3 linked regions of the Arabidopsis thaliana genome follow. The protein of the gene in region 3 interacts with the protein of the main gene of each other region in a pairwise test. Each region holds a gene or a part of one and is shown on either strand. Other genes may lie near its edges.

Region 1 (10,455 bases), 7.6 Mb from region 3:
GACACTGAAACTTATGACAATGTTAATTAGGATGTTCATGTATCTGACTACAAGGAAGCAATGACCTCAAGCATGAATCAGATAGTTCTTATGTAGTTTCCACATTATCTAAGTTTTCTTTCTCACCACGAAAACCTCACTTACAAGCTGCTTAAGATTCTCTGACTACACTAGAATAACTATAAATCCGATTCTAAGTAAAAACATTAAAATCAAAATCGAATTTCTTAAAATCTAAGTAAGAAAAATTGAATTACTTGTAAGAACAGGAGACGCAGAAGTTGATCTCTACTGTATTTCCATATCCAATTGCTCCTCCTAAGCCACTTGTCTTCTGCAAAATAATGGGAGCTTAGAGATCAAAACCGTAACCAATAGAAGTGAAATACACGAAAGTATAAAAGAAATTTAACCTGTGAAGGAAAGTCTAGGGTTTCGGGGATGATCGCATTAGGACGATGCTGGTGAGGAATATGCGGTGGCTGATGAGGACGGTGAGGCTGAGGTTTAGGAGGCGGAGGAGTGAAGAGGTTGAAGAGATCCGAACAAAACAAGAATATAGGTAGACCTAACAAGATCAATTGTGCTCTGTCCATGGCGGATATTTAGATCTCTCGATTAATTCACAGTGAAGCGCGAGAGAGAGAGACGAGGGAAGAAGTAGTGTAAAGCGAATCGGAGAAGACGGAACGAGAGAGTTCAATAAGACTTGTTTGGATGCTGGAATATTATTATCCTGCTCATTGTTGTTGACGTCTTATATTTTGAAATATTTGCTTAAATACCCCTGTATTTATATTTTATTGCACTTACACCCCCGCTTGAATGAATAGAAGTAACATAAAGCCCACTGAAAAGTATCAAAACGGCCCAAATATTTGATCCGCAACTATTTTTTCTTGTTGACTCGGTTCAAGAACTAAAAAGAACAAAAGTGACAGAGGTTTGTTATAAAAAAGCGGCACCGGACGACATGAATTTCTCCGGGAATTGACTTGTCAAAACGCGTGCAGTGCACAGCGTCTCAACTGTTGTCTATTGCTTTCTCAATCACAAAAAGTACAACAAAAAAAGCTGATTTACATTTTGTTTTTGACTGAGAATGTTAGTTCAAATTCTAGATCCCGCTCTGAGTTTGTTCACACTTTTTGTTTTGCTCTCCATCATCACTCAACCGAAAAAAAAAAGTAAAGACAAAAGTTATTTTCCTTATGCGTTACTTCTCCGTTAGTTTCGAAACACTGACACTATAGACCATGAAGATGAAGTCATCGCCTTCTCCGGCTAGTTCTCTCTCACTCGGCTCGAAGACTCGGTCATTCGGCTGTATCTCTATCATTCTTCAAAGATTTCTCTGTTCCGGCACCTCTTCTACCTACCCATCTGATCTAATTACTGAACCCAGTTTCAAGTCTCGTGATTTCATCCCCGAGCCACTCAGAGGCAGAGGAGATGGGCCAGGAGCTGTGGCGAGGCTCATGGGTTTGGACTCAATTCCCGTGATCGACAAAACCAGATTTCTCTCAAGGAGCCATTCAGTGAATCATTTGAAGAGGGACGACGATGAGATTCAGGGAAAGCATAGAAGAGTTAAGTCCACTCTTGAGTATGTTGAGCTTGAAGATGATGATTTCTTCATTCTCAGTTTCGAGAAGGATAAAAATGATAAGGAGCTGGGAACTAGAAATTGTAAGAAGAGGAGAGATACTAGAGAGAACCAGAGCAAAACAGAGGATCAAACACACCTAGAGGGTAAAGAGAACAACATCAATGCCATGAACGTTTCACCAGGACGTGAGAGGCTTGAGATTGGAGAACTGATGCAGCGTAGAAAGGAGAAACGTAAGAGCAGAAGAAAACGAAAAGAAACTAAGTTGAGACAGAACATCGAGAAGGAGAATTGGGTCCAAAGTAATGGTTGTTGGTCCAAAGAAGAAGATTTAGTAAATTGTGAAGTGAGATCAACAAAAGAAGAAGAAGAGTGTGGAAGCTGCGATGATTCGAGCCCTGTCTCGGTTCTTGATTATGACCGGTATGCTGGTGTTCGAGTAACTCCATCACCAGGTTGGTAATTCTTCAGTATTGAAAATTGAAATGTCCTTTCTTGTGTTATTAAAGCATACTTGTTTCCTTGTAACAGGAAACATTTCAAGAAGACGGTTGTCTTCAGAACTTGAATCTAGTAAGCTCAATGAAACGATTGAACAAGATCACATCACATTGACAAGTAGATCAAAAGACCAAGAAATCCGACTTCATGGCTACCAAGAGATGTGGCTCATGATCTGCAAACTCACTGTATCTGACCTTGAAGGTTCAGATTGGTTTAACGGAAAAGCTTTAAAGCTCGAAGATATAGAAGGAATCATAAGCGAAGATATAGTCTCAAACATCTTAGATCAACTCTTAGAAGAAACAATTACAACACTTTCCCTAACTTCACAAGTGTAAATACATTTCTGTATTCCAATTATATTATTACTAAAAAACATATATATTCAGCGTGAGAGTGTTACCAAGAAAAAAAAAAATCGATTACTCATTGTGAATAGTAAAGAATCAAGGAAGTGAGGTGAGGTAATTCAAGGTTTCTTAGGTTTTGAAACCTTTTTTCACCTCTGTTTTTCTTTGGAGACAGAGAGAGAGACAAACGAACTCTCTTTTGTCCCCTAAGAATTTTTTCTTTTTATTCTAAAGAAAAATAACAAAGCATTAAACAAATAAAATGAAATAGATTAGCATCGACCTCTCGGAATCTTTCTGACTTTGCTTCTTGTGGAACGGTTAATGAAAGTTCAAAACTTTTGATTCAAGCCACGGTCTGTTCTGTCTCCATGTATGATTGCTCCATCCAAACCGGAGCTAGTCTTGTCTCCTGTGGCTCTTTCACCAGCGGCTCCACCCATGAGACATCTGGCTCTTCGAGCCCAGTCCCTTCGTTAGGCAGTCTTGATTCCATGCCACCGGCTCTGAGACGGAAAGAAGTGGATTTTCTGAGCTTCTGTAGCTCGTCTCCTTGGACGCTCCAGTCAAGCTTCCCATCCAATGAGCCCCAATCGTTTAAACAAGTTGTAGTCATGGAAGAGATTGCGGGATGGTGATTCAGTCCGTTGTTGCGTTCTATGAAGCTTTGGCTTCGCTGTTTAGCAAATTCAGCCGCTCTTGAAGCCAAGACTGCGGAGGAATCCATCGAAAACAGAGAATTGGCTCCCACAGGTGATGAAGAAAGACTGTTGGAATGCAGCTGCGGGTTAATGACGCTGCGTCGGATCTGCAAACCCGATGTATTATCCTCTGTCCCAAACATATCACTGAGACTATTCACCGGGCTCATTGCTCCTCCTGCAAGCCTGTTCATGCCCTTTCCGGAGAATGGAGATGACATTGGCGTGTTGTTCCATGTAGTTGGAGAAGTAAGACTTTGCATCTCTTCAGAGAAATCGATTTCTCTTGCATTCAATGCAGATTTCAATCTGCTCCCTGGAAGCTGCAATGCAGGAGGGGTTATGTTAGGCCAGTTCATCCACGTTTTTCCTCCACCTATTGGAGAGGATACACCGTTAGGACTCAAAGGAGGTGTGGTTGTTGCTCCGATAGGAAGCGGACTAATCGGTCCCATGTCGAAAGCGGTCGAGGAATTGCAAGATGAGAAGGAAGACCGCGGGGACGGAACACCTGATCCAGTTGAAGGGTACAAAGGACGCAGCTCCTCGGGTTTGTGGGCAAAGAAACAAACTCTTCTCGAGCAATTCGTCTCGTCCTTGCAGAGACGAGTCCGGTACTGAGCCGGGTGAAGCCAGCACTCAAAGATACCATGAGCATACTCGCAAGTATCACCTCTGGAACAAGACCCCTTCCGGAATTCAGGACAAGGGACACAACTATAATGGTACTTCCTCGGATCACGCCTCCTTGCGTTCTCACCCGGATGAACAAAGGGACATTCCGTCCAGTCGTGAGAGTATGCTCTAGAGCACGGCTTGATCTTGAAAGCATACATCCGGAACTCATCCGTCCCATATACACCGTTCTTGATATCAGGAAGCGTTGGATCAACCGGATACTCCTTCCTCTCAGACCCCCGAGGAGGCGAAACCTCAACCTCAACCTCAACCTCTGGCTCGCTTTCTTCTTGCCCATTAACTTCATTCAAATCATCATTTCCTTTCAACAAACGCTCCAAAACCTTCATCCTCGCGCTAAAAACCGGACTCAAACAAGGGAAAATCACATCTCCAGGCTTGTTACCATAAGCATCACAAGAATCCGGATTCGCAGAGCCCTTCAGCAGAAGAGTAACAATCTCAAGGCTATTGGCAGACAAGCCAGAGACCGCACAGTGAAGAGCCGTGGCACCATCAGAGCCACAAGAGCGGTTCACGTCAACAAGACCAGTACTAATGATGTAATCAACAACCTCTTTGCTTCCAAACAAGGCAGCAATCATAAGAGGCGTCCTCTCCTCAAAACCCATCTTCTTTGATCCTAATCTCCTCCCATACCACAAACCAGAGCCATCAATGCTCTCAAGACCTTCTTCTTCAACTAGAGACTTAAAACCGGACAAATCATTGCAGGCTGATGATTCTAGCAGAAGAGAGAATTTGAGGTGAGACAGCTCATCAACTCCCATGGCAAAAAAAAGCAACAATCTTTTCCCGCTCTATTGATTTCACTGCAAAAAAAATTGCAGAACAAATTGAAAAGGATGAATCTTTTTTCTTCTGATTAAAATGGTAATATACATAGAACAAAATCATACAAAACAGAAATAAAAACTGCAGAAACGATTAAGCTAAGGAGAGAAGGAAGAGTTTGTTAGTTTGGGATACAAAGTTTCCAACTTTAAAACAAACCAAACCAAAAATAAACACCAACAGATCCATAATTAACCACTTTTGCAACATCGAAAACTAATCATATTGTTAACTCATTTTCCAATCAGCAAAACAATTAAAAACAAACTGCAAACTCTAAAACAAATCGACATATATGGATTCAACTGAAACTAAATTAGTGACTAATCAAATCAAAGAAACAAAGAGTAAAGATTTTCTACCTCTGAGTCACAGAGACAAACTCTCTCTTTTCTCGACCACCACTACCAAAAAACCGCTCTTCACTTCCTTTAAACGAGTACTCAATTAGTCAATTTATTGAAAAAACAAATCCGAATTTTTTTTCTTCTTCCTCAAATTATGTTTTTTTTCTTCTTCTTCCTCTCCTTGTCACTTTCTTCTTAAGGTCAAAATAATAGAAGTTTTTAAAAAAATGAAGAAGCTTACTCTAAATAATAAAACAAAACCACCATCTCCATCATTCTTCTTCTACTTCTCTCTCGTCTTTTTTATTTCTATTTATTTATTTTACTTTCAATTTTAATTTGTAAAGTCTGAAGGAAATGAAGGTGTACGTTAGACTTCACACAGAGGATCTTCGCTCATCGGTTTTGTCACGCTTCACGCGTTTTTCCGGTTTTTGGTGGGATGACGTGGAAACCATGCATCGTCAGCATGTTTTTAAAATGAGCTACTTACTTTTCTTCTCCATTCACGAGCTAAAGATAAAACCACTGCCTGTTACCTAGAGTTATATAACCAATTAACCATAGCTTTTTAATTGGTTTGTCACCGCCCCAGAATAATCTCAACATGCACCAAAACACAGAATCGGAACCGTCTCGAGTGGGTTTCGCTTGATAGCAACTCTCTTTTGTCATAGCTTTGATTTGAGTTATATTCATCAAAATTAATTATCATAAAGTTTAAAGATAATTGAGATAATTATTATAAAGTCGAGAAATTGACGTTTATGTTCAGTTTTTTTCGGTCGACAATTCCAACAAAAAGACGATTAGGTAATACAAATATCCTAAGAGACTAAAATAATGTGTATTTAAATTCGGTAATGGAAAGAATTCGAACAAACCTTACCAAACTTTGTATTTTCTGTCGCTATGCTTGTATTATTATATTAAAAGATAGTGATTCGTGATCCATGACAATGTTGTACTACTATATAAAAGTAGTCATAAATTGCAAATGTATAATAATATTTTTTTGAAAACGACTACTGTTTTGTATTGCAACCAGACCAAATCCAAATGCATGCAACCGAACCCATCAATGCTTTTTGCAGCGGCATTAACGAAGCTGCTCCACTGGCTCTCTCTCACATCATAACACAAAGCCATTTATTTTCTCTTCTTCTAATTTACAGTTCTAATAAATAAGTAAAGTCATAATATTAATATGATAGTGCAAATACTGTATATATACACGACAAATTATTAATTTTTAGATAATTATATCCTGTTTCTTAACATAAACACTGTTGATTCCCAATGTCAAATCAATATTTAAAAATTTGTTATAAGTCAGTCACTCAAAAGACAATGGTATGAAAAATGCTGAAAACAGACGGTCAAGATCTTGTATTCACGATGAGATATATTGTTAGGTTAATTTTGATATAAAGCGAAATAAAAAGGGAAAAAAGGTAGAAAAGTCTAAGTGTACAATTAGGAAAAGGACCCACAAGAATCCATAATCTGACTAGAATGAATGGAATAAGAAGCATGTGGGACCAACTGAAAGCGACTAAGCATTGCTATTTGCTATTTTATCAGCCGACGTCGCTGCGACAAAACCCCAAATGGCAGAGCCTTATTGGACAGACCATATTGACTTTTATGGTCCTAAATGCAGTGAATTATCTCTCTTCGACTTGGCGCCAAGCACTTCTGGGCCAGAAATACCGATGCGGGGCTATACGAGGATAATGATCTGTTTCAAAGCCCATAATTAAAGACCTAGGTTTGGCCCATTAGTCTATCTTCTTGATTTAAAAGAAGGAAGCCAATTTCTTCTTCATGGACGTAAATAAAAAGAACTGGTAACTAATGAGATAGTATCTTACTATCTTCACAAGTAAAAGTCATATGGTGAATCCGAAGAAAGAATGTCGTATTCATGAGCTATATCTGAGAAGAGTGAAAAACAGAGTCAAAGTCAAAGAGTGATGAGCAAGCTTTAATAGTACGAAAGTAGAAGAAATAAAGAAATAAGAGGGTGAAATGGGTAAATTTTGGATTTTTAATTAGGAAATAGTGCAAATTGACCAAAATTAAAAATCTCCACTCTTTTCGCGTGTATCAACCAAAAAACAACATCAATGTCCTTTAGTTTTAATTAATCTCGCTGTTTAATTGGGATTAGACTAAAAAAGTTGCAGAGACTAGTACAGCGTTACTTGGGGAGAAAGCTGCTACTCACACAAGTACCTCCCAAATCTCTTCTCTTACCCACAAAAATCTTCTCTTCAATATTCTCCAAGCTCTATCGGAACACTGCGTTTTTTGTTTTTGTTTTCCCTCCAAATTTCTCACTCGAAGCTTTTAATGCCAGCGGCGGAGGAAGAAGAGCCGATATTCGGCTGGAACAGCACCGGTAGACGAAATCTCCGCCGGAAAAAGCTTCTCGACGGTGATAAGATAGAGGTCGCTTGTTGTTTTCCCCCCTGACTATTTCCTTTCCACCATGGGTCTTTTTGATTGTAGGGTTTATAGGGTTTTTCATTTTCTCAACCTTTTGAGCAATTTCGGATTTTTTTCAAGGTTTGAGTTTCATCGTGGAGTGTAATTGATGGATTCAACTTTTGTAAAAGCTACATTGTCTGTTTCTCCATTATAATCACTTTTGGTTCTCTGTAGCTTTTTGTTTAGCTTTTGAGATGTTAAAAGTTTAGTAGTTTCCATTTTTAGTGCAAACTTATATGTTGCTTTTAATGTTGCTTCGTCTTCTAATCCTGGAAAAGTATTTGTGTTGCTTGTTTAGGTAAGGAGTCTTGAAGAGGGGTCTCTGGGTTCTTGGTATTTAGGAACTGTAACTTCAGCTAAAAAGCGACGTCGGCGTTGTATCAGATATGACAACATTCTCTCTGATGATGGTTCTGGTAATCTTGTGGAAACTGTTGATGTTTCTGATATAGTAGAAGGGTTGGATGATTGCACTGATGTTTCTGATACTTTCCGTGGACGTTTAAGACCTGTGCCGCCAAAGCTGGATGTTGCTAAACTGAACCTTGCGTATGGGCTCTGCGTCGATGTGTTTTTCAGTGATGCTTGGTGGGAAGGTGTGCTCTTTGACCACGAGAATGGTTCTGAGAAAAGGAGGGTGTTTTTCCCTGATTTGGGTGATGAATTGGATGCTGATCTTCAATCTTTACGTATTACTCAGGATTGGAATGAGGCTACAGAGACGTGGGAGTGTCGTGGCAGTTGGTTGTTTCTTGATTTGATTGAGATATATAAGGAATATAACTATCTCCCGGTTTCGGTAAAGCAACTTTGGTATGACATACGAGACAGGATTGGTTTTGTAAGAATTCAAGAATGGACTTGCTCTACTAAGCATTTATGGCAAGATTTGATGCTGGGGGTGATTGAAGATAATCTTAAAATCACCATTGACCAGTTTCTTCATGATTTTGACGCTGAAAGATACCCTCAATTGAAGCTCTTAAATGAAGCTTCTCAGGCGGTTTATGAGACCAATGCTTGTCTTAGCGGTATGCTAACGATTGCTCCACAAGAACACCAATTTTCCTGCATTGACAAAGATTTCAAACCGGCAAGCCAGAGATGCCAGTCCTTGTCTGTCTTGACTTCTGTTTCTGGCATAAGGTCAGAGGCGAGTGACATCAATAAGGCAACAGAAATTTCCAGCAAGAAATCTACTGCCGCTCATAAAAAGGATATACTACACAAGAAACCTGGAATCTGGCATCCTTTCGACTGTCTTGCTAAATCAGGCCCACAAGCTGTGTCGAGCTTTATCAGGTCACCGTTACTGCCCATGGCCATGCATGTCAGGATGCATCTTAAGTATATGGGATGGACCATAGAACATATGGTAGACGAAGCTGGAAGGCAAAGGTTTCGCTACCTCTCACCAAATGGAAGACTAAAAGAGCATTCTCTTCGTCAAGTATGTTTCAGACTGAAACAACCTGATAAATCCCTGACTACTCCGGGGATGGCTAACCCTCCTTCTCTGTCTAGTGAAAACCAGACGTATAGCACCCAGGAAATGAGGTCTATTGTTTTGGCATTGCCTGCCTTTAATAGAAGTGTCGCTCTTGGTGAAGGATTGAAGCTGTCTACTGATACCTTGCTTGAGTATGAAACGCAAGGAAACGAGGAGGTCTTTACGAGAGAAAGCCGCAATTTTTGTCCCAAAAAAGCCTTTCCGGGTCAGAAAGAGACACTCCGTGTCAGGATCGAGCCAAAAACAAAAGCTCAAGGCATCATCCTAAGGTTAAAAAGTAAGCGTAAACAGACACCTAAGAAGGACGAAGTGATTGTAGGTTTACAGAATGTCAATCGGAGCATGAGAAGGGGGCACACTTCAAAAAAGTTAATGGATATCAAGAATCGAGTAACTAGTCGTGGTAAAACCCGTGTGTTACGATCAAGAAAAAGAGCGCAACGAGTAATAACTCCCATCTCAAGAAAGCACAGTCCACGAAATATTCTTTCCTGGCTCATGGACAACAATGTGGTTCTACCAAGGGAAAATATACGATGCTGTAACCAAAAGGATACAACTGTGAGAAAAGAGGGGAAACTAACCCGTGAGGGAATAAAATGCAGTTGTTGCCGTAGAGTTTTCACCATAAATGGCTTTGAAGTTCATGCTAATGGTGCATCCTGCAGCGGAGCAGCCAATATTTTCCTGGATGATGGAAGATCTCTTTTGGAATGCCAAGTAGAAGCCTATAAAAAAAGAAAGAAAGCACAACCACCTGATATGTTGAAGATGAAATTGCGTCAAGGGGAGAACGATGTATTTTGCTCCGTTTGTCACTATGGTGGCAAACTGATTCTCTGTGATGGATGTCCATCCGCCTTCCATGCAAATTGTCTTGGGCTGGAGGTTTGATCTTTTTCACCAATTTTCACTATGACCGTTCTTGAAACTTCACCGCTTTTTCTTGTGGTTTCTGAACACGTTCTTGTTGGAATTTGTAGGATGTTCCAGATGGTGATTGGTTCTGCCAGTCATGTTGTTGTGGTGCATGTGGACAATTCTTTCTAAAGACTACTAGCACAAATGCCAAGGAGGAAAAGTTTATCAGTTGCAAGCAATGCGAACTTAAGTGTATGGAATACTTCCCTAATGCTAATATAAAGAGTCAACAAGATATTTTAAATGATATGAAGTTTTGTTTGCTATGTGGTTCATATAGATCACCCTAGTTGCTTGCGTTATGATGGTGCCTGTGATTCATTGGATAAAATCTTGGGAGAAAAGTGGTTTTGCAGCAAGGACTGTGAAGAGGTACATAAATCCAAATCCCATGTTCCATTTGTGATTGTTAACAGCCATCAGAAAACTAACTAAGCAGCCTAAGAAAATAAATGCTGCAGTTAAGATAATATGTATACTGCATGTC
Region 2 (11,369 bases), on a different chromosome or scaffold from region 3:
ATTGATGGATGCATTAGCATCAAAGAGTAATACGGTGACAAACAAATATTATCACTAATAATGATTAGTTGGGTGAGTGAAGCCTCACTACTGTTTTCCTCCCACGGGACGAGGGCTCGAGGTCGTCAAAATTCGAGCAATAATTATGTATGATTAACCATTATTATTTCAAATGAGTTGAACTATGGACGATCAGAAAAATATAAGTTACACTAAGTTATTAGTAGTACTATAATTAATAAACAAAATTGCCGACATAAACTTTTTTTTTTTGCCGACATACAAAAAAAATAGAATTAGAACATCAGTATTTTTTGTTCATCATTACAAAATTATAAATACATTTAAACTTGAGTGGAAAACTGTTCCAAGGTAAATTTAATCAATTAATTATGTCACTGTATAAATGCATAGATTAGATTTAAATCCATATTATACTGATGCATCTTCATTTTTTTAGCCACGGGATAAAATTCCTCTGTTGATTTCTATTACAGTGTTAATCTTATATTTCTTTGATCTTTTCAAGTATTAGCAGTCGTTGGTTGCAATTATTTTCTTATAAATTTATGGATTTTGGTTCAATTATTTTTATTATAAATTCATCTTAGATTTTGTATGTACTGAATGAGGTAAGTACCAAAACAAAGCCGGCTTTTACTGTTGGTTTTGTTGGACCACTTCAGACATTTTAATCAATATAACACATCTTCTATGGATTACAGTAAATTATTTTAAATTTCCTTTTGAGTTTCTTCATGTTAAAAATAAACAAACTGCTATTCTGTTATTATATATTTCCAAGAATCATAATTATATATAATGAAAACAAAACTGACTCAGAAATAATCTTTGACGTAATGTTTAGCCATCATTTGGAATTAATATCATGTTTTCCTTTTTCATATTTGTTTTTTTTTGTTTCTTTCATGTCTCTTCTACTTATCTGTCTTCCCTTTTTTAATGATCATGAAAAAATTATCTTTATAATTTTCGTAATTTTTACTCCAATTTTAGTTTAATATATAGAAAACGGTTTCTTCATTTTTATTATTCTTTAATTCCATTTAAATTTTAAGTTTTATTAAAACCAATGTGACTTTACGGTTTTTTACGCATATATTTAAAGGGAATATTCCCTAATAAGACATTTATAGAGAAAGTTTGGACGTTTGGGACACTTTTGAGGGAGTGAACACTTTTCCACATTTTTATTGATTTTATAACCAATTTACCCTTATAAACGTGAGAAAGAAAAAAAACAGGAGATAAATTAATTTTGTTGTCAATTACTAAAAAATAATATACGTGACATTAGATAGAGATAACAAGTTAAAAATTAATGGTAAGATCAGTTAAAATTTAGTTTAATCAAATAAAAATATTTAAGTCAAATATTATATTAAATAAAAATATTTAAACCTAAGTAATATTATATATTTCTAACAAATATCAGATATTAAACTATGTTCCTAATTATGTATCCAATATATATTGTCCACGTAAACATATCCAAACAGTTCGCATTATATGAAATGCTTTAAATCAAATAAAAATATTTAAGCGTAAGTAGTATTATATATTTCCAACAAATATCAGATATTAAACTATGTTCCTAATTATGTATCCAATATATATTGTCCACGTAAACTTATCCAAACAGTTTGCATTATATGAAATACTATATATTTAAACCTAAGTAGTATTATATATTCCCAACAAATATCAGATATTAAACTATTTTTCTAATTATGTATCCAATATATATTGTCCATATAAATTTATCCATAACAGTTCGCTTTATATATATCAATACAAGGTCCATCAACAAACTTTTTTTGAGAATATGATACAATATTGTTAACACAAACAAATGGTTTGTGGTGTGTAAACTTTAAACCCTTGAGACTCTGCACTAAAGCCTAATTTCCTTACCCTAAACTCAAACCCTCAATCCCTAATCTTTATCCATTAAATCCAAAATCGTAAAACAAAACTCTAAACCATATAATATATTGTAAGCATAAACAAGAAAGTGATAATTATACTTAGAGATAAAACAAATTCACAGCAAATCAAAGCCAACATGTGTCCATTGATGATTGTCCAAGAAGTTTAGTCCATGTGGTCAACTAATGACTCATGGGGTCGTTTTATTTCAATACACAAGTTTATGTATGATCGATAATCACCAGAATCAGATTCGATGGAAAAAAACAAAAACTTTTGGAACAATTTAAATCGTAAAAATGTGATCTTTACTAAATTCGACCAATATCAATTGCAGATCTAAATGCTAAACATAAGGACAATGAACCAAGGAAACAATTTTTTTAATCTATTTCTTACATCAAATTGATACCCAGATTAGTTGGAGAACGAATCTAAAATAGGAATTGGATGGAGAATTGGAGATAATGACATAAAAATGAAGATAATGACATGAAAATCAATAGGAATCATGTGGGAGAGAGAGAGTACTAACTTGGAGAAGGCAACAGAGGATTCTTCTTCAGCCAATTGTGGATGTGCTTGATTTTACGCCTTAAGACGATGACAGATTGCTTCACGTCATTTTTGTAATCAGAAACTTGACTAATGAAGTGATCCCAGAGAGCAAGGATTCATAGTAATTTTTCAATAAAGAGAGAGAGCAAAATCTGAATCTCAGATTTCAACAAAACCCTAGAAATTCAAATATAACAAAATTAAGGAACGAACTGATAAGTTGACTGATGATGGGAAGAGAGGGAGAGAGAGAGATGAAAATCATGGTAAAAACTTTTTATTTTCTCCACTTGATTGTGTAGACTTGAAAAATGAGAGAAAAAAAAAGAGAGAGAGAAGAGAAGGAGAGAGACAAATAAAATGTAACGAAAGAGATGTGTAAAAGGTAAATAGGTCAAATAACCTATCGAAAGTGTATATTCTTTTTAAAATGCTTAATTAGACATTAACTTTTCAAAAAATGCCTAATTACGTAATATTCTCATTTTTAAAATCTATATTATATTTTTTAACTATTATACATAAAAATTTGTTTCATTTTAGTTATCTGAAATAATTAAATTATATATAAATAAGTATTGTATAGCAAGTTTGATAAAACAATTTGATGATAATTTATTTCAGATTGATGAAATTGTTTGCAATTATAAACTAATATTTATATAGTACTAATTAGTAAATTCTTGAAAGAACAGCAGAAATATTAACAAAAAAAAATAATAACGCCGGAAAATAAATCCTCCTAAAGAAATATTTTTAGATGTGTTGGGAAAAACCATATGGTACGAATTTATCTTTTAATTCCCTATTTAAGTTTTTAGGTTATTAGAAATTTGATGCAGTTTGTTATAAGTTATAACTTATAACCTATAGTTTTCAAAAATATCTATTAAACCCATTAGGCCCACTTTCTCATTTCGCTCATGGTTTATGATTGACTCTACAATTAAACTGGAATTAAATAAAATGTATCACGTCCGTTCCCCCGTACGCTTGGTGGACGCCAGTTACCCTTCTTAAATATCGTTTAATAATCCCTCTCAATTACGCCACTCACAGGCTACCGGTTCCTCCCGTTTACTTTCTCTTACCATCAGCCATCCGTACCACCGGGTTCACCGGTCGATCCTGTAATATCATAAAGCTCGCGTCCATTGAAAAATCTCCTGTCTTATTGTGCTTATTGCTCAATGCTTTTATTCCACGTGTCTCATCAGCCAAAGATAAAAAGGGTAAAAACGACTTCTCGTAGATTCTAAGGGCAATTTAGGAAATTGGAAAATACCTTATGAAGAAAGCAGAGCGTCTGTAGAGATTTCTGTAACGGGGATAAAGTCGAAAAAGTGAATATCCATTCACTTGTCGCCACGTAGGAAAAAGGCTTTTAATTACGATGTAACTTGACTCACTAGATTGCCATCCCCTTATTTTAGGAAGTTGTATTAAGTGGAAATTACTGGAGAATTTGACCAAGGACAAAAAGCTTAATAGGAAGGATACATGCGTGTCCACTTCCGATGTCAACCAATCATACCCTGCCAACTCATATATCGGAAGTCGAATTGACTATTGTACCCTTGTGTTCTACTGTCTTAGTTATGACGTGGACAGCTTCTATTGGTTGTAGTGATTTTAAATTCGTAAAACGGGTAGGGGTTAATAAGATCTCATAGTAGCGCTTGTCTTTTTCTTAATTGTTTATTTATTTCCTATAAAATATTAATTTAAATAGCTTTCCCTATTGGATAGCGAAATTTATTAAAAATTTCATTAAACGAAAACGAAGTGTCGAAAAATGTTTTTTCTCAGGAAAATAAAAATTATTTATTTTTTGGGGGTGTAAATACTTTTCTAGTGAGATCTGAGCTTGGGAAATGGAGATTGTAGAAGAACAAGCTCCTCTCACCATTTCTTCTTCTTCTTCTCTCTAAAAGAAAAGAGACTTCACCGATTCTTTTTTATTATTCCTTCCCAGATTTTCTCGGGAAATTAATTCTTTTCCTCCTCTTTCTTCTCACTTGTTGTTGTTCCTTAACACTCTCTTCCTAGATCTACTATTAACTGATTTCATTTCACGACTAAACCATCGAAGTCTTCGGCAAGATATGGATTTGTTTCTGTTCTATTAAACTTGTTTCAATCGAGAAGTAAAAAAGGTGAGATTTGTCGACCATCGGAGGCCTCTTATGGTTTGATGATATCGTTTGGTTTTCGATCGTCTCAAGTTTTTATTTTTGGTTCTTTCTGAATCTAAAGCTTCTCCCTTTCTTTGTTCGCTGTAGTCTCTATGAATTTTTTGAGAAAAAAAACGTCGTGAAATAACATGCAACAAAGATCCATTTGAGTTTCTTCTCTATTTGTCTATTTTGACTTTGTTTTTATGGAAAAAAAGATTCGATGAAGTTTTTATTTGGGATTTTCTGATCGGATTTTATTGCTTGTTGTTAGTTTCCCTGTTCTATTTATAGAAGTAGCGTCTTTACAAATCCTCTTTGCTTGATTCTTTATTGAAATCTGTTTGACTTACTGGTTTTTCAAAAAACGGTTGATTTTGGGAATCGTTAAGACATGGTCTTGTTTTCAGACAAAAACCCTCCCTTCTTGTCTGAAAGTGACTTTAGCTGAGATTTATCTTAACTGGAGTACTATTCCGATCTAGTTTCTGTAAAATCAATGGATAAGAGAATTAAAAAGATTCTCTTTTGGTTTTTTATGATCGATTTATTAGTTCTTTTATGTAAGTGATCTTTTTGATTGAATTTTTGATTCTTTTGATGATGTTTACAGAATCCGATTCCACAGATGGAACTATGTGCTGTGGATCAGACCGATTAAACCAGATCGTGTCATCAAGATCTTCGTTGCCAATTTCTTTCGAGGAAGATAACAATCTTGTTACCAACACAGACATGAATCACTTAACAGTCGAAACAGAGGATACGTTTGCGAGCTTGCTTGAGCTTGCAGCTAACAACGATGTTGAAGGTGTAAGGCTATCTATCGAGAGAGACCCTTCTTGTGTAGACGAAGCTGGTCTCTGGTACGGTCGTCAAAAAGGTTCTAAAGCTATGGTCAACGATTACAGGACTCCGTTGATGGTTGCTGCTACTTACGGAAGCATTGATGTGATCAAGCTTATTGTTTCTTTGACTGATGCTGACGTGAACCGTGCTTGCGGGAATGATCAGACCACTGCGTTACACTGCGCTGCTTCTGGAGGAGCTGTGAATGCTATCCAAGTTGTTAAGCTGCTTCTTGCAGCTGGAGCTGATTTGAATCTGTTGGATGCTGAAGGTCAACGAGCTGGTGATGTTATTGTTGTTCCTCCTAAGCTTGAAGGCGTGAAGCTGATGCTTCAGGAGCTTCTTTCTGCTGATGGATCATCTACTGCGGAGCGGAATCTACGGGTTGTGACAAATGTTCCGAATAGAAGCTCATCTCCGTGTCATTCTCCTACTGGAGAGAATGGTGGATCAGGGTCTGGTTCACCGCTCGGCTCTCCTTTTAAGCTGAAATCTACTGAATTCAAGAAAGAGTATCCGGTTGATCCGTCTTTGCCAGATATCAAGAACAGTATCTACGCGACTGATGAGTTTAGAATGTATTCCTTCAAGGTCCGGCCTTGCTCTCGTGCTTATTCACATGATTGGACTGAGTGTCCTTTTGTTCACCCGGGTGAAAACGCGAGGAGGAGAGACCCGAGGAAGTTCCATTACAGCTGCGTTCCTTGCCCGGATTTTAGGAAAGGAGCTTGTAGGAGAGGAGATATGTGTGAGTATGCGCACGGTGTGTTTGAATGCTGGCTTCATCCGGCTCAGTACAGGACCCGTCTTTGCAAAGATGGAACAGGCTGTGCTCGGCGGGTTTGTTTCTTTGCGCATACACCCGAGGAGCTTCGACCTTTGTACGCATCAACTGGTTCAGCGGTTCCTTCGCCTAGATCGAATGCTGATTATGCAGCTGCTTTGAGTCTCCTTCCTGGTTCTCCATCAGGAGTCTCTGTCATGTCCCCGCTTTCCCCATCAGCAGCGGGGAACGGAATGTCTCATTCGAATATGGCTTGGCCACAACCAAATGTCCCTGCGTTGCACTTACCAGGAAGCAATCTACAGTCAAGCAGGCTAAGGTCTTCTCTCAATGCAAGGGATATCCCGACGGATGAGTTCAATATGTTAGCGGATTACGAGCAGCAGCAACTCCTCAACGAGTATTCCAATGCTCTGAGCCGTTCTGGTCGGATGAAATCAATGCCTCCTTCGAATCTTGAAGATCTTTTCTCAGCAGAAGGCTCTTCATCTCCCCGGTTCACTGATTCCGCTTTAGCTTCCGCGGTGTTCTCGCCTACACACAAGTCAGCTGTCTTCAACCAGTTCCAACAACAGCAACAGCAGCAGCAGAGCATGTTGTCTCCAATCAACACAAGCTTTTCTTCACCAAAGAGCGTTGACCACTCATTGTTTTCAGGTGGAGGAAGAATGTCTCCTCGGAATGTTGTTGAACCAATATCACCCATGAGTGCTCGGGTTTCCATGTTGGCTCAGTGCGTGAAGCAACAACAACAGCAACAGCAGCAGCAGCAGCAGCAACATCAGTTCCGTAGCCTTAGCTCCAGAGAGCTCAGAACAAACTCTAGCCCAATCGTTGGTTCACCGGTAAACAACAACACATGGTCATCAAAATGGGGATCTTCAAATGGTCAACCGGATTGGGGAATGAGCTCAGAAGCACTTGGTAAGTTGAGATCTTCGTCATCGTTTGATGGTGATGAGCCTGATGTGTCATGGGTCCAGTCACTGGTGAAGGAGACTCCAGCAGAAGCCAAAGAGAAAGCAGCAACATCTTCCTCAGGGGAACACGTGATGAAGCAGCCAAATCCGGTTGAACCGGTAATGGATCATGCTGGGCTAGAAGCTTGGATTGAGCAAATGCAGCTCGATCAGCTTGTGGCTCAGCAGAATTGAGAGACCTAACCAAAGAATCACATGTTCTTGTCTGGTCTCTCTATGTGGTAGATAAAAACCTCTTTTTTACAGGTGGTGGTGGTAGAAGGGTAACAAGATTAACAAAGAAGAGAAGAGAAGAAAGAAGATTTCTTTGTTTTTGGTCAATTAATTTTCACAAAAAACAGTTTTTTTTTTTTTTATTTAGAGAAGAGAAGGGAACAATACAAGAAAAAGGCTTATGGGAAGAAAGGAGATGAAACAAAACCTTCTTGGTTTTCTTTCTCCCATTTTCAATTTTTTTTTAGGGATTTCTTTCTCCCATTATCATTATTATTATTGTTATTAATATTATTATTTTTTATATATTTTATTGTTATGACTATTTGTTATCGTTTGTTATAATGAGTACCCTGAAATTAATTGCAATAATCTTTAATCTTTTTAGTTTCTTTAATCTTGTGGGAGAAATAAGAGTGGCCTTCAAAGCAAATTCTTGGGAGACATGTGTCTATGTTAATTACTTAATGACTCACTAACTAATTATTTATGTGGCGTTAGTGCAATAAATAGATAAATATTTGTTGGGTAGAAGAACTGAGTGGGGGCTAATCCATAAAGGATTAATTTTTGGATTTCTTAGGGATGTGGATGTGGTTTATGGGGCAGGTGACAGTGATATAGTATATCTTTAAATGTAATATAATAAAGATTCTTAAGTAAGTTCTTTACTTTTTGTCAATTCTTAATAAAAATTGATCAACCACATTTTCTTTTTTTAATGCTTTGGAATATGCAAATTTAGCTTTGTGTTGAGATGGTGGCCTGGTGGGTTGATTTAATAATATTCACTTAAATTCTTTTAATACTTTACATTATCTAAATACGATAGATATTAATCTGTTTTTCACTCCTTGGTGCAACCAATTTTTGTATCCTCGAGCTCACGTGACTGTTCTCTTTGGACTCTTTCTTAGCATTAAACTTTGATCAGGAAATGAAAACAAAAACAAAAACAAACCAAGATTAGTGCGAACATGTTTATTCATTCTCTGTTCAGTTATCTTGTCTTCTTTTGCTAGAGCGTATAGCCCAATAATAGGATGTTTAAGTTGTTCTTTCTTTATCGGTTATACTTTAAATAAATATAAATTTCACTAAAGAAAGCAAATGGACGGATTTGAGAAATTAAAAAAATAGGTGATCGTCACCTTTCAGTGATCAAACTTTCGGTGCATATGTTTGTTCTTGAGTGATTTTCTTTATCACCTTTTATATTTCCATTAATATTTTAATTTACCAAAAGCTTTGCGGTGATGTGATCAAACACAAAAATCACAAGACTTATGCCGAGTATCTTATTCAAGATAACACCAAACCTATTTGAGCATATATTATACGCAAGAATAATATTTCTAAGAATTTATTCATCAATTTATACCTTTTAAAAATATTGTTTTGGGTTTAAAATATAAAAGAAAAGAAAAAGCTGATTGCGACGCAACTTTAATCAAAACCAAACAGAAAGAAAAAGAAGCATAAACAGAGAAAGTAAGGTGAAGAAAAAGCATAGCAGAAGCTAGGAAATTCATTCCTTCTTCCCCCTTCTAATGATTCTCTTCATTGTTCCCAAAAAAAGTCTTCAAATTTCACTTTGTTTTTATTCATTCATAATGTTTAATACCAAAATTTATACCAGCCAAAATCTACTTTACCAAAAAGTTTAAGGTTTTTGATATTGTCTTTTTAGGTTCGGAACAAGCTAATAATAACATAAATAAAAGGGATGGATCACCCACCTGGGCCACTCTAAAGTCTAAACCAATTGAAGTAACCATTTTAAACACACAAAATTATGTTGGTGGGCTTTTAGCTCTTTAAAAATCCACACATATGTTAGTGGGCTTTAGCTCGTGGACCAGATACGGTTACATGGTTACAAAAGGCCAAACCCAAATCGGAAAACATGCCGGAAAATACGATCTGCACTCATTTTGACCAGGTAAAAATATGGTTGGAAACGCGTAAATGAATCAAAGCCACACAATGAAATAAAAATTCAACGGTGAGGTTCCTACATTATTTCTGTAATTTCTGTTTTTTTTGTGTGAACAAACGGATTTCTAATTTTAAATTTACCTAAAAATAGCTTAACTCCATCCGGTATAAATCCCCAAAAGCATCATCCAATTATCCTCAGACCTGCGAGAAACAAAAAATAATAAAAGTAAACAAAACTACCAAAAAAAAAAACAGAAAAAAACCTTTCAGGTCTCAACTAGCAATGGAGATGAAGAAGATTGCCTGCGGAGTCGTTTTCGCTGCTGCTTCCATGACCGCCGTCATGGCTGCAGAGGTCGGAGCACCTGCACCAGGACCCGCCGCAAGTGGAGCCTCCGTAGCTGTTCCGGCTCTTGGCTCTTTGGTTGGAGCTTCCCTTGTGTCTCTCTTCGCCTACTACTTGAACTAAGCTTTTCTATTTAAAGCAAAAAAAGAAGAAATATCGATGTCTCTGTCAATTTCTATGATGTCCAATTTTGTGTGTGTTGTTTAGACAGGCAAAGTGAATAAAACGAAAAATAATTTGATTACGGTCAGACATGTTTTTATGTAATGCTGATTAATAAATATATATATACACTATCTGTTTTCTCTTTTTCATATATCTTTCTTATACTACCACCATATTTTGGTTACTATATTTTTTGCGCAGGTATAATTTTGACCAAGTTAGAATTTTACAAAGTCTTAATTTTATTGAATTCAACATATAAAGCTTTGTGAAAGTTATTTGGTTTAGGTGAATTCACATGGTCTACACAAAACAAAAAATGTACAAGCAGAAAGATATTTTCTGCTCATAAAAACATCCTCAAACTATTGGATATTGCCTAGAAATCGCTTACCGGTTCTAGTTTTCTGAGTGATTTTATCCGACAAAAGTACACATCGTAATTTCAAAACAAGCGTATCACTTGTTGAATCTATGACGAATCACAATCATAAACCACTGGTCTTGTGATTTTGTTAATGGTTCAAATTATAATGTTGATTGATGTCTCACATAAGTCACAACAGAACATGATCAGATCATAGAAGCCACTAACAACTTCAGCCGCAGTAATCAAGCTCTTAATTAGCGATTTGTATTGTTAACAGCGATGCCTTTTTTAATTCTTTTATTTTTTTGGAAACTAAAGTTTTGTACGCTTTTCAGAAAAAAGGAAATTGTTATTTTCGTTTATAATTTTCGTTTATAAATTAATACGATTTGAAGTTACTTATGTTTTACAGGAAAAAAGGAAACTAATGAGTTTACTTATCTCTAACAGAAAGAAGGAAACTTTTCTCTATATATATGATAACTCTCTTCACCAAATTATTTCGATTCTCAGATTTCACGTACATCACCTAGGTTTTGTTTCTTAACTTGGAGCCAAAGAAATCAGAGAATCAATAATATATTCCATTGCAATGGTGCCACCAGAGCTAGAATTCAACAAGTATCTCGGAAAGGGTTCATACGGTTCGGTGAGTCTTTTCAAGTATTCGAAACCACGCACGACTCTCTACACCGCGGTGATGACTTGCAACTATAAAAACGCTGAGTCTCTCGAGAAAGAGTTTGGAATCTTGTCTGAATTCAAGGGTTGTTCGAGAATTGTCCAGTGCTATGAAAACAGAGTTATAGAGAATCTGGACGTTGAGGGTAACAAAGAGTATATGATGCTAATGGAGTACGCAGCTGGAGGAAGCTTGAGGACTTTCATGAAACGTTCCGAAGACAAGAAATTGCCTGATCCTTTGATAAGAGAGTTTACTCGAATGATCCTCGAAGGCTTAGCCACAATTCACGGACAGGGCTATGTCCACTGCGATCTCAAACCCGATAACATCCTCGTTTTCCCAAGATGTGTCTAC
Region 3 (8,655 bases):
CGTTGTGACGCTTGTGCACAATGTTTGCATAGCTGTTGTGTGTGCATTTGTGAGCCTTTTGGCAGAGAAGGACAATCCGAAGGCATGGGTCATAAGATTCGACATAACCTTAATTACCGTAGTAGCAACGGTACTCATGACATTATATTTATAACTTTGGTTTCATATGTTTGTTCATTTATTCGTTTTTCTTGGTCTTTGATGATTTATGGAATATACATTTTTCATAGGGGATTTTGAATTCGGGATATTATGTTATACATACGTGGGCAGTGAGTCACAAGGGACCTGTGTATTTGTCTATGTTCAAACCGTTATCTATATTGATAGCAGCCGTATCAACTTTCATTTTCCTCGGCGAGTCGCTCTACCTTGGAAGGTATACCACAAAACTGTTGCTTCTCATGATTTTAAATTCACTATGTAAATGTCATTTCTCAATCCTCCTCTATATGTTTGAGTACAGTGTGATGGGAGGAATATTGATATCAATAGGATTTTACATGGTGTTGTGGGGTAAAGCCAAGGAAGACAAAGTTGACATAATAGGAGCAATAGAGTCCTCTCCTTCACATAATGCTCCTCTCTTGGATAATTTTAAAAGCTAATCAATATTCACTTTAGTTTTTCATGAGTGATTTCTGACAGATTAATACTATTTATGTGTGTCATCCATTTTATAATATAGTTCGACCAATAGTCCAAAACTCATTAAAAAAAGGCGTAGACAAAAACCAGAGACACACATATTAGTGTTTGTTAATAAAATTGGTGTTTTGTGATCCTTGGACCATGGTATGGTGATTTCACTGAATTGGTTCGATCTTAGTTTTCAAAATCGGTTCAGGTAGCTAAACCAGACTAGGGTTTCTTAATGTCAAAGCGCTACGAATCCCACTATTTTACTTGGGACATATAGATGAATGGAAAGTGAAGTATTTGGTAGAAGAACCTATGATTATATCTCATCCATTTCACTTTCTTTTTGCATACTTTTTTTGTGTGGATATATATGATTGTTCTACCAAGTTCAAACTTCAAAGAAAATAAATGAGAGAAAAAATAACCAATGTATTTCTTCTTGCATATTTTTCCAAATACAAAACAGAATCAAGAAAAATCAAATTATGGTTTGAGCTTCTCTTTGTCTTTCCATGACTGTATTTGCTTTTATGTCCTTCCATGGACAAAAATCTCTCTTTCTCTCCTTCTGGTTATGGTTCCTTCTGTTTCAGTTTCTTTCTTCAGTCTTGAGATCATCAGACATAGCAGAAGGTATGCAATGTGTGGTCAGAATATCTAATGTTGCTTCCTTTGCTGTCTTAGTGTCCAGAACAACAATCTGTAGAAACACCAAAGAATTTTAGCTAAAAATTGTTTATAAGTTTGTATAAAAGTTAAGGAAGATGAGAAAATAACATACCTGATCATAATCCAGATTAAACTTCATATATTCATCCTCACAATTCTCCACCATCCCAGCTAAACCTTTCAAGTTTTTCACAGGTTTGCCATTAAAGGCGACAACCTACACGGCGATTTGAACATTTAGCGTGACAGATGCTTCAATAAAGTGACAAATGATAAATGCAATTTAACAAACCTGGGTGTTGACAATCTCTTCATAACCAATGTTAATGTCAGAAACAAGAACCTGCAAGTTAAAATATGGGTGTTGAGGCTTCGACACCAAAATAATTATGACTGCATTAACGTGTGAAACAGGAGAAACCAACCTGTGAAACTACAACAAGCTGCTCGTCCACGGATTGAGCCATTGCATGAAGATGTTTCTCCAATAGCTTGACAGGTGCGTCAAATTCATATTCTTTTCCATACTGCAAAACATATCAATGGGAAATAGTTATATAAACTGTGAATGGATGCATGAGAGAAAGCGAGAAAGTAAGGAAAGATAGAGAGACAGTAAAGGACCTCAGATCGAAGATATGGAACAGAGACAGTTGTAAATACAAAGCCAGCAACGATGAAGTACGAAGGAGGTTTGCCACTTATGTGAGCAGGGATTAGCCTCTTGTGGATTGCAAGTTTTATGTTGAACTCTAATATTTCTTTGTTTCGTAGAACCTTCACGAGAGCAGAATCTCCAGTGTACTTTTGGGATATAAGGTAGCTAAAGCCAATTCGTTCTCCATGCCTAAATGGAACTGCAAAAACACAAACATGAACAGAAATGTTATTAAGGATTGTCTAGACTTAACCAGAAATAACTACACTCATTGGTCCCATTAATGATTGCTAATAAGTTATTGAAAGAATTATTACCAGTCCCATCATTAGCGATATTAACTCCATCAAAACTAAGGATAATATCAGACGGCTTCAAAACTTGTGATTCTGGGGCGGTTGGCTCAATTCTTCTAATCCGCACTCCCTTTTGATGAGATTCCATACCCATTGACTTCCGCAAATCAGGATTTTCCATCTTTTGCCACTCAATTCCGAGAACAGGAAACCCTAAAACAGTTCAAGTATGAGAAAAAAGCACATGTAGAGATAGATAACAAACAACATTAATCATCGGTGAAACTTACCTGTGTATTTATCATGCTTCTCATAATCTTGAATGAAATGTACAATCACCGGTGTGGGAATGACATAACCAATATTCTCAGCATCTTCGTGTTTCAAAGACTGAAATGCAATACCAACACATTTTCCTTTATCATTAAATGCAGGACCACCAGAATTCCCAGAATTAATAGCTGCATCAATCTGAAAAGACAAAAACAGAAAACATTTTTATAAGTGCCCTTAACTCCCTAGTCAGATAAGGAAAAATATCATGTCAAATGTGTTGTCCAACCTGCAATCCCAAAAGCTCGGTTGATCCATGCACATACGACAATATCTCCATCCGGGAAACAACACCGCTTGTGACAGAGATTGTATCACCACCAATTGGATAACCAACAACAGTAACAGCATCTTGCAAAGCTGGTAAATCACCAAACTCCACAGGAGATACTCCTTCCCAAAACTCATCATCCGTAACTGTCAACAAAGCTGTAATCCAAGTGTATAACATCATCAGCCACATAGACAAGAACAGTAAAACTCCAGACTTCACACATTTGTCAATGAAACTTATAACAGACATAACAAGGAGAAAAGTACAATCCATAGAAAATCAATATGACTAGTTACACTTCTATTGCAACTCAAACTACACTAAAAAGAGTAAATCATCAGTTTCTGTCAACAAAGCTGTAATTACATACTAAAATCAATTCTGACTACTTAAAAATTCTATTGCAACTCAAAACAACAGAAAACAGATGCAGAAATTAGATACAAGATCCATACCAATGTCACATTCAGTTCCAATGGCCAAGACTGTAGCCAAATACTTAGTATCAGAGCCACGCTTCTTGAGTTTAACTTGAGTATGATGCTCAACAGAATGTGCATTAGTCAAAACTCTTCTTCCCCCAATAATAAAACCACTACTACCAGAACTATACTGTCGTTTCCTTTGCCATGGCAACGAGAAATTAGGCTCAGTGTGAACACAAAAGACTTTAACAACAGCATCCATTGAAGGAACAACTTTAACAACAGTTTCCCAACTCGGAGCAGCGGGAATCGATTCAGTAGTTGTTGAAACAATCATCCCATTGCTACAATCACCATTCTTCGTATCAGAGTGATGAAGACGAGATCTACTACGCTCTGGTGACGACGTCCTCTGGTTACCAGCTTCTGATTCATTGTTCAATCTACGCTTTTTACCTCTCCCACGACTGCGTCGCGACGGAGATGGGTTGGCTTCAGAAGCTGAAACAGGCTCAGGGGATTGAGGTAACGATGCTTCATTAGCCGAAGCTTCTTTAACTTCGCCGCCGGCGTTTTCCGCCGATGAAGCATCTTGCCTTTTGTGTTTACGTCCTCTCTTCTCAGAATTCTTCATCTTTTCCCTCAACCCAGAAGGAAAAAGATAATCTTTTCCTCTGGATTGTAACTTCTCAGTGAAATTGAAATTGAAATTTGCAAGAAGACGCGGCTAGGGTTTATAATCGGAGAGTGGTTGTAAGAAACGGCGATCATTGTCCCGTCGTGCCTGAATATAAGACAAATGGGCCTGAAGTTAGGCCCAATAACGATATTGGGCTTCTAATTACTGAATTATAATTATGTTAACCCAAGCCATCATTAGGTTAAAACCACAAACTTGGCCTTGTTGGTCTTCATCTTAAAAGTCTAAACCATAATTAGTTAGTTACAGAGATTCGTAATTTGTTGCTGAACTCAAACCGAATTTAATAAAGTTGGATTTAGAGTTGGTTCGGTTCGATTCGGTTAGGATCGGTTAAAATGCACAAACCAAATCTGAAATTTGATGATGTTCTCACTTTCCCTTTTTGAGTAAATCGATCTCTCTTACTCCACCATCTTCCTTCTGTCTCCGATCGCGATCCATCTTCAATTCCATCTCCGATCTTCAATTCCGACTTGGAATAAAATGTCAGAAGGCTACGCAATCGAGCTATACTTCGATCCAGCACTCGAAAACCAAGTATTGAAAGCATGGAACGTCTTCGCTCGCCGTCAAATCAGTACCAAATTGATCAACACTGAGTCTCGTCCACACATAACACTCTTCTCCACCTCCTTCTTCGATTCAACGAGACTCGAATCCGTCATCAAAAACTTCGTATCCAAGCAAGAACCAATCTCGATCTCGTTCTCTACTATCGGTAGCTTCTCTAGCGACAACAACGTACTGTTTCTATCTCCGACTCCGTCTCTATCGCTTCTTCAGTTGCAGACTCAGTTATGTGATATGTTGAAGAAAGAATCTGTTGACATTGGTGAAGAGTATCGTGTTGATTCTTGGGTTCCGTTTTGTCCCGTGGCTCTTGATGTTCCTAAGTCTCGTATGGCTGAGGCTTTCTCTGTGTTGAGAGATTTGAAGCTTCCGGTGAATGGTTATGGTATGGAGATTGGTCTCGTTGAGTTTTCTCCTGTTCGTGAAGTCTTCTCATTTCCTCTTGGTAACACTTTGGAGTCTTGATCTGTTGTTGTTGGTTTTTATGTAATTTCTCTATGTAAAGCTTCGAACTTTACTGTTGAATTCTAAGGAATAGTTGGAGAATTTGCTATTTATCTATCTGAATGATGTTTTGATTGCTAGAGTTAACTACTAGAACACATAGAAGCTCTGTGTTGTAGTCAAAGTCGATATCTTTAGAAGTTCCTATGATATGTGTTTTATGTCTTTACTGTTGAACTCGGATATTTCTAAGGAATAGTTGGAGAATTGCTATTTATCAATCTCACCTTTCTCACTTCTCTTATTATGTTCTCATCTTTTGTCGATGTGTGTTTCGATCTGAATTGTGTTATGATAGCTAGAGTTAAGAGTTAGGATACAATTGAGGCTTTGTGTTGTAGTCATGGTTGGTGAGTAAGTTAGCTGTTACTATTTCTGTCTCAATTCTCTGTAATTTTTAGTCTCTGGAGTTTGGGACAAGGACTGTTCAAGGTGGTCTTTTAGATCGCTATGATCCGTTGAATGAAAATTTCCGTTTGGTTTCTGTGTCATCATTTTGAGTTTATGCACTTTGAGATTCTTAGGAAGATCACAGGAAATTTTTATGTTTCATGTCTTCACATGAACACTAAGAATGGTGGAAACTGTTATTCCTCTGCTCAATGTTTTTTTGCAGGCTATGATCATGAATACATTAAACAATGCCAGGTATGTGCAGTTTTGTATATGTCCTGTAAATAATATGTGTCTTCTCTTTCTTACACATATAACTAAAGGTTGTAATGAGAATTGAATTAAGACATCACCTTATACTTTTTAAAATTTCTTATCCTCAAGATTTACCTGAGTTGTCTGAGTATGGCCATGAGAAACTCGCTCCAGGCATTGATTGGTCCAGGCAAGCACCAGTGAGTACAGTCATTGAAACCCTTCATCCATTTATTTCCCCAGTAAGAATTCGGGTGCCCGTCTGGTCTCATTAGCATAACCCTAGTCACATCCAAAACCTCAAACTTCTTCTTTTTTAAGCTGTCACGTTTAAATATCTTCAAGCTGTTCTATCTGAGATGTTAAGATTTCCAATGGCAATGGCAATGTCTGTATTTAGCAGATCAATTGCCCATTGCTCGCTTGTCAATGTCGAGATCATAGATTCCTGTTCCGGTCTTCTTAGCATGAGTCCTTTCGAGTCCGGCCACTAGAAACTTTGCCATGAGGTAGATATCTTTCGGAGTTTCTTCCTGTGAAACCAAAGCAAAGAAACGAGATTTCTTAAGTCACAAGCTTAAGGAGTTATGTTATAAGATGTTGTCCAAAAAAAAAATCTTACCATTGACAGGAGGCAGAGAAGAGACTCCATGTGGTTTCTGGCTACAGAATCACCAATGAAATTCATCTTTTTGCCACAGACAAGATCGAAAAAATATCTAGAAGACTACAGTTGGATAATTGTCTAGATTGAAACGTTTGTGTAGAGACAATATAAAGTATCTAGAAAATTGATTAATTGGTCCACTGTCTACCCGGTTGGTATCGGTCTTGGTCGAACTAAATATGTGGTGGTCAATATTTACATGCTGAAAGACTCAAATTTTCCTAGCAAGCGATGTGACATATAACTCTTTATCTTTATTATATATATAACTCTTTATCTTTATTATATATATAACTCTTTATCTTTATTATATATGATTGTTAGAAGAGTAGACTGCAAAATTGACCAAATCATACATACCAATTTCTTCTTCATATCTTCATATCATGAAATCGAATTTGGCCGTTTTCTTCATAACTTGTTTCTTCTGTTGCGTCTTTGTGACCAGCGATTCAGTTTACACTCTACCATTTCCTTTCCCACGCGATCAAGTTGAGATTCTGTTGGAATTGAAGAATGAGTTTCCATCCTTCAACTGCGACCTCACTTGGAAACTCGATTACTTTGGTCGAATGGACACTAGAGCAAATATAAGCTCCTGGACCAAAGACTCTGACTCCTTTAGTGGGGTTTCCTTTGATAGCGAGACCGGTGTGGTGAAGGAGCTGTCCCTTGGTCGTCAATGTCTTACTAGTCTCAAGGCTAATAGTAGCCTCTTCAGATTCCAACACCTCAGGTACCTCGATCTCTCTGAAAATCATTTTGACTCGTCCCCTATACCCTCTGGATTTGGTAGACTGACCTACTTGGAATCCTTGGATCTTAGCAAAAATGGGTTTATAGGAGAAGTTCCATCCTCAATAAGTAACCTAAGCCGGTTAACCAATTTAGACCTTTCATATAACAAGCTCACCGGTGGTATTCCCAATCTACATAGTTTAACCCTTCTTGAGAATATAGACCTATCATATAATAAGTTTTCTGGAGCCATTCCTTCTTACCTCTTCACCATGCCTTTTCTAGTTTCTCTTAACCTACGCCAAAACCATCTTAGTGACCCTCTTGAGAATATAAATTATTCTGCAACCTCTAAACTTTTAATTTTAGACATGGCTTATAACCTTATGAGTCATCGAATCCTAGAACCTATCTCAAAATTAGCCAACCTCATACAAATTGACTTATCTTTTCAGAAGACACCCTACACATTCAACTTTGATTTCTTGCTCTTCAAGTCTCTAGTGCGTTTGGATCTTTCCGGAAATAGTGTTTCAGTGGTTGGTACCGGTTCAGAAAATTTGACACATCTAGACTTGTCGAGCTGCAACATCACCGAGTTCCCGATGTTTATTAAGGACTTACAAAGATTATGGTGGTTAGACATTTCCAATAATAGAATTAAAGGAAAAGTGCCTGAGTTGTTATGGACTCTGCCTTCTATGCTCCATGTAAATCTCTCACGCAACTCCTTTGATTCCTTGGAAGGTACGCCAAAAATAATCCTCAATTCGTCGATTTCGGAGTTAGATTTGAGTTCAAATGCCTTCAAAGGATCTTTTCCTATTATTCCACCTTATGTCAACATCATGGCTGCATCAAATAACTATTTCACTGGAGGCATACCACTTATATTCTGCAAAAGATATCGACTCAGTCTCCTTGATCTATCAAACAACAACTTCAGTGGGACAATTCCGAGATGCTTGACAAATGTGTCACTCGGACTAGAAGCGTTGAAACTCAGTAACAACAGCCTCACTGGGAGACTTCCGGACATAGAAGACCGCTTAGTACTACTTGACGTTGGCCACAACCAAATAAGTGGGAAGCTTCCAAGGTCTCTAGTAAACTGCACAACCCTAAAGTTTCTAAATGTGGAAGGAAACCACATCAACGACACTTTCCCTTTCTGGCTGAAGGCTTTGACGCGTCTTGAAATCATTGTTCTGAGATCAAACAGATTCCACGGTCCCATTTCTTCTCCTGAGGTCTCTCTTTCATTTACGGCACTGCGGATAATTGATATTTCCCGTAACAGCTTCAACGGGAGCCTACCGCAAAACTACTTTGCGAATTGGAGTGCACCTTTGGTTAATACCCCACAAGGATATCGTTGGCCAGAGTACACAGGAGATGAACACTCTAAATATGAGACCCCGCTTTGGTCTTATCCTTCCATTCATTTGAGAATAAAAGGACGAAGCATAGAGTTGGGAAAGATTCCAGATACATACACGTCGATAGATTTCTCAGGAAATAGTTTTGA

What was found.
Region 1: the proteins of AT5G40190 (region 3) and AT5G58620 interact in a two-hybrid assay, tested with the Arabidopsis thaliana proteins (one large-scale study listed by BioGRID).
Region 2: the proteins of AT5G40190 (region 3) and OXS2 interact in a two-hybrid assay, tested with the Arabidopsis thaliana proteins (one large-scale study listed by BioGRID).

Annotation. Positions count from the first base shown.
Region 1 is NC_003076.8:23,688,137-23,698,591, reverse strand, and holds AT5G58620 (zinc finger (CCCH-type) family protein), read right to left. Parts: upstream 5,334-10,455; 5' UTR 5,060-5,333; intron 4,676-5,059; 5' UTR 4,634-4,675; coding exon 2,810-4,633; 3' UTR 2,452-2,809; downstream 1-2,451. Other genes in the region: AT5G58640 (Selenoprotein, Rdx type), read right to left, coding at 258-334, 414-596; TRM31 (uncharacterized protein), read left to right, coding at 1,257-2,064, 2,141-2,451; AT5G58610 (PHD finger transcription factor), read left to right, coding at 7,400-7,498, 7,836-9,935, 10,031-10,160, 10,249-10,340.
Region 2 is NC_003071.7:17,486,034-17,497,402, forward strand, and holds OXS2 (CCCH-type zinc finger protein with ARM repeat domain-containing protein), read left to right. Parts: upstream 1-4,237; 5' UTR 4,238-4,664; intron 4,665-5,295; 5' UTR 5,296-5,318; coding exon 5,319-7,469; 3' UTR 7,470-7,889; downstream 7,890-11,369. Other genes in the region: AT2G41905 (uncharacterized protein), read left to right, coding at 9,733-9,918; AT2G41910 (Protein kinase superfamily protein), read left to right, coding at 10,923-11,369.
Region 3 is NC_003076.8:16,065,678-16,074,332, reverse strand, and holds AT5G40190 (RNA ligase/cyclic nucleotide phosphodiesterase family protein), read left to right. Parts: upstream 1-4,288; 5' UTR 4,289-4,483; coding exon 4,484-5,035; 3' UTR 5,036-5,290; downstream 5,291-8,655. Other genes in the region: UMAMIT42 (nodulin MtN21 /EamA-like transporter family protein), read left to right, coding at 1-130, 231-379, 467-608; DEG9 (DegP protease 9), read right to left, coding at 1,232-1,342, 1,424-1,528, 1,604-1,654, 1,737-1,838, 1,936-2,168, 2,287-2,478, 2,556-2,736, 2,828-3,027 and 1 more; AT5G40180 (Pmr5/Cas1p GDSL/SGNH-like acyl-esterase family protein), read right to left, coding at 6,127-6,255, 6,345-6,410; RLP54 (receptor like protein 54), read left to right, coding at 6,776-8,655.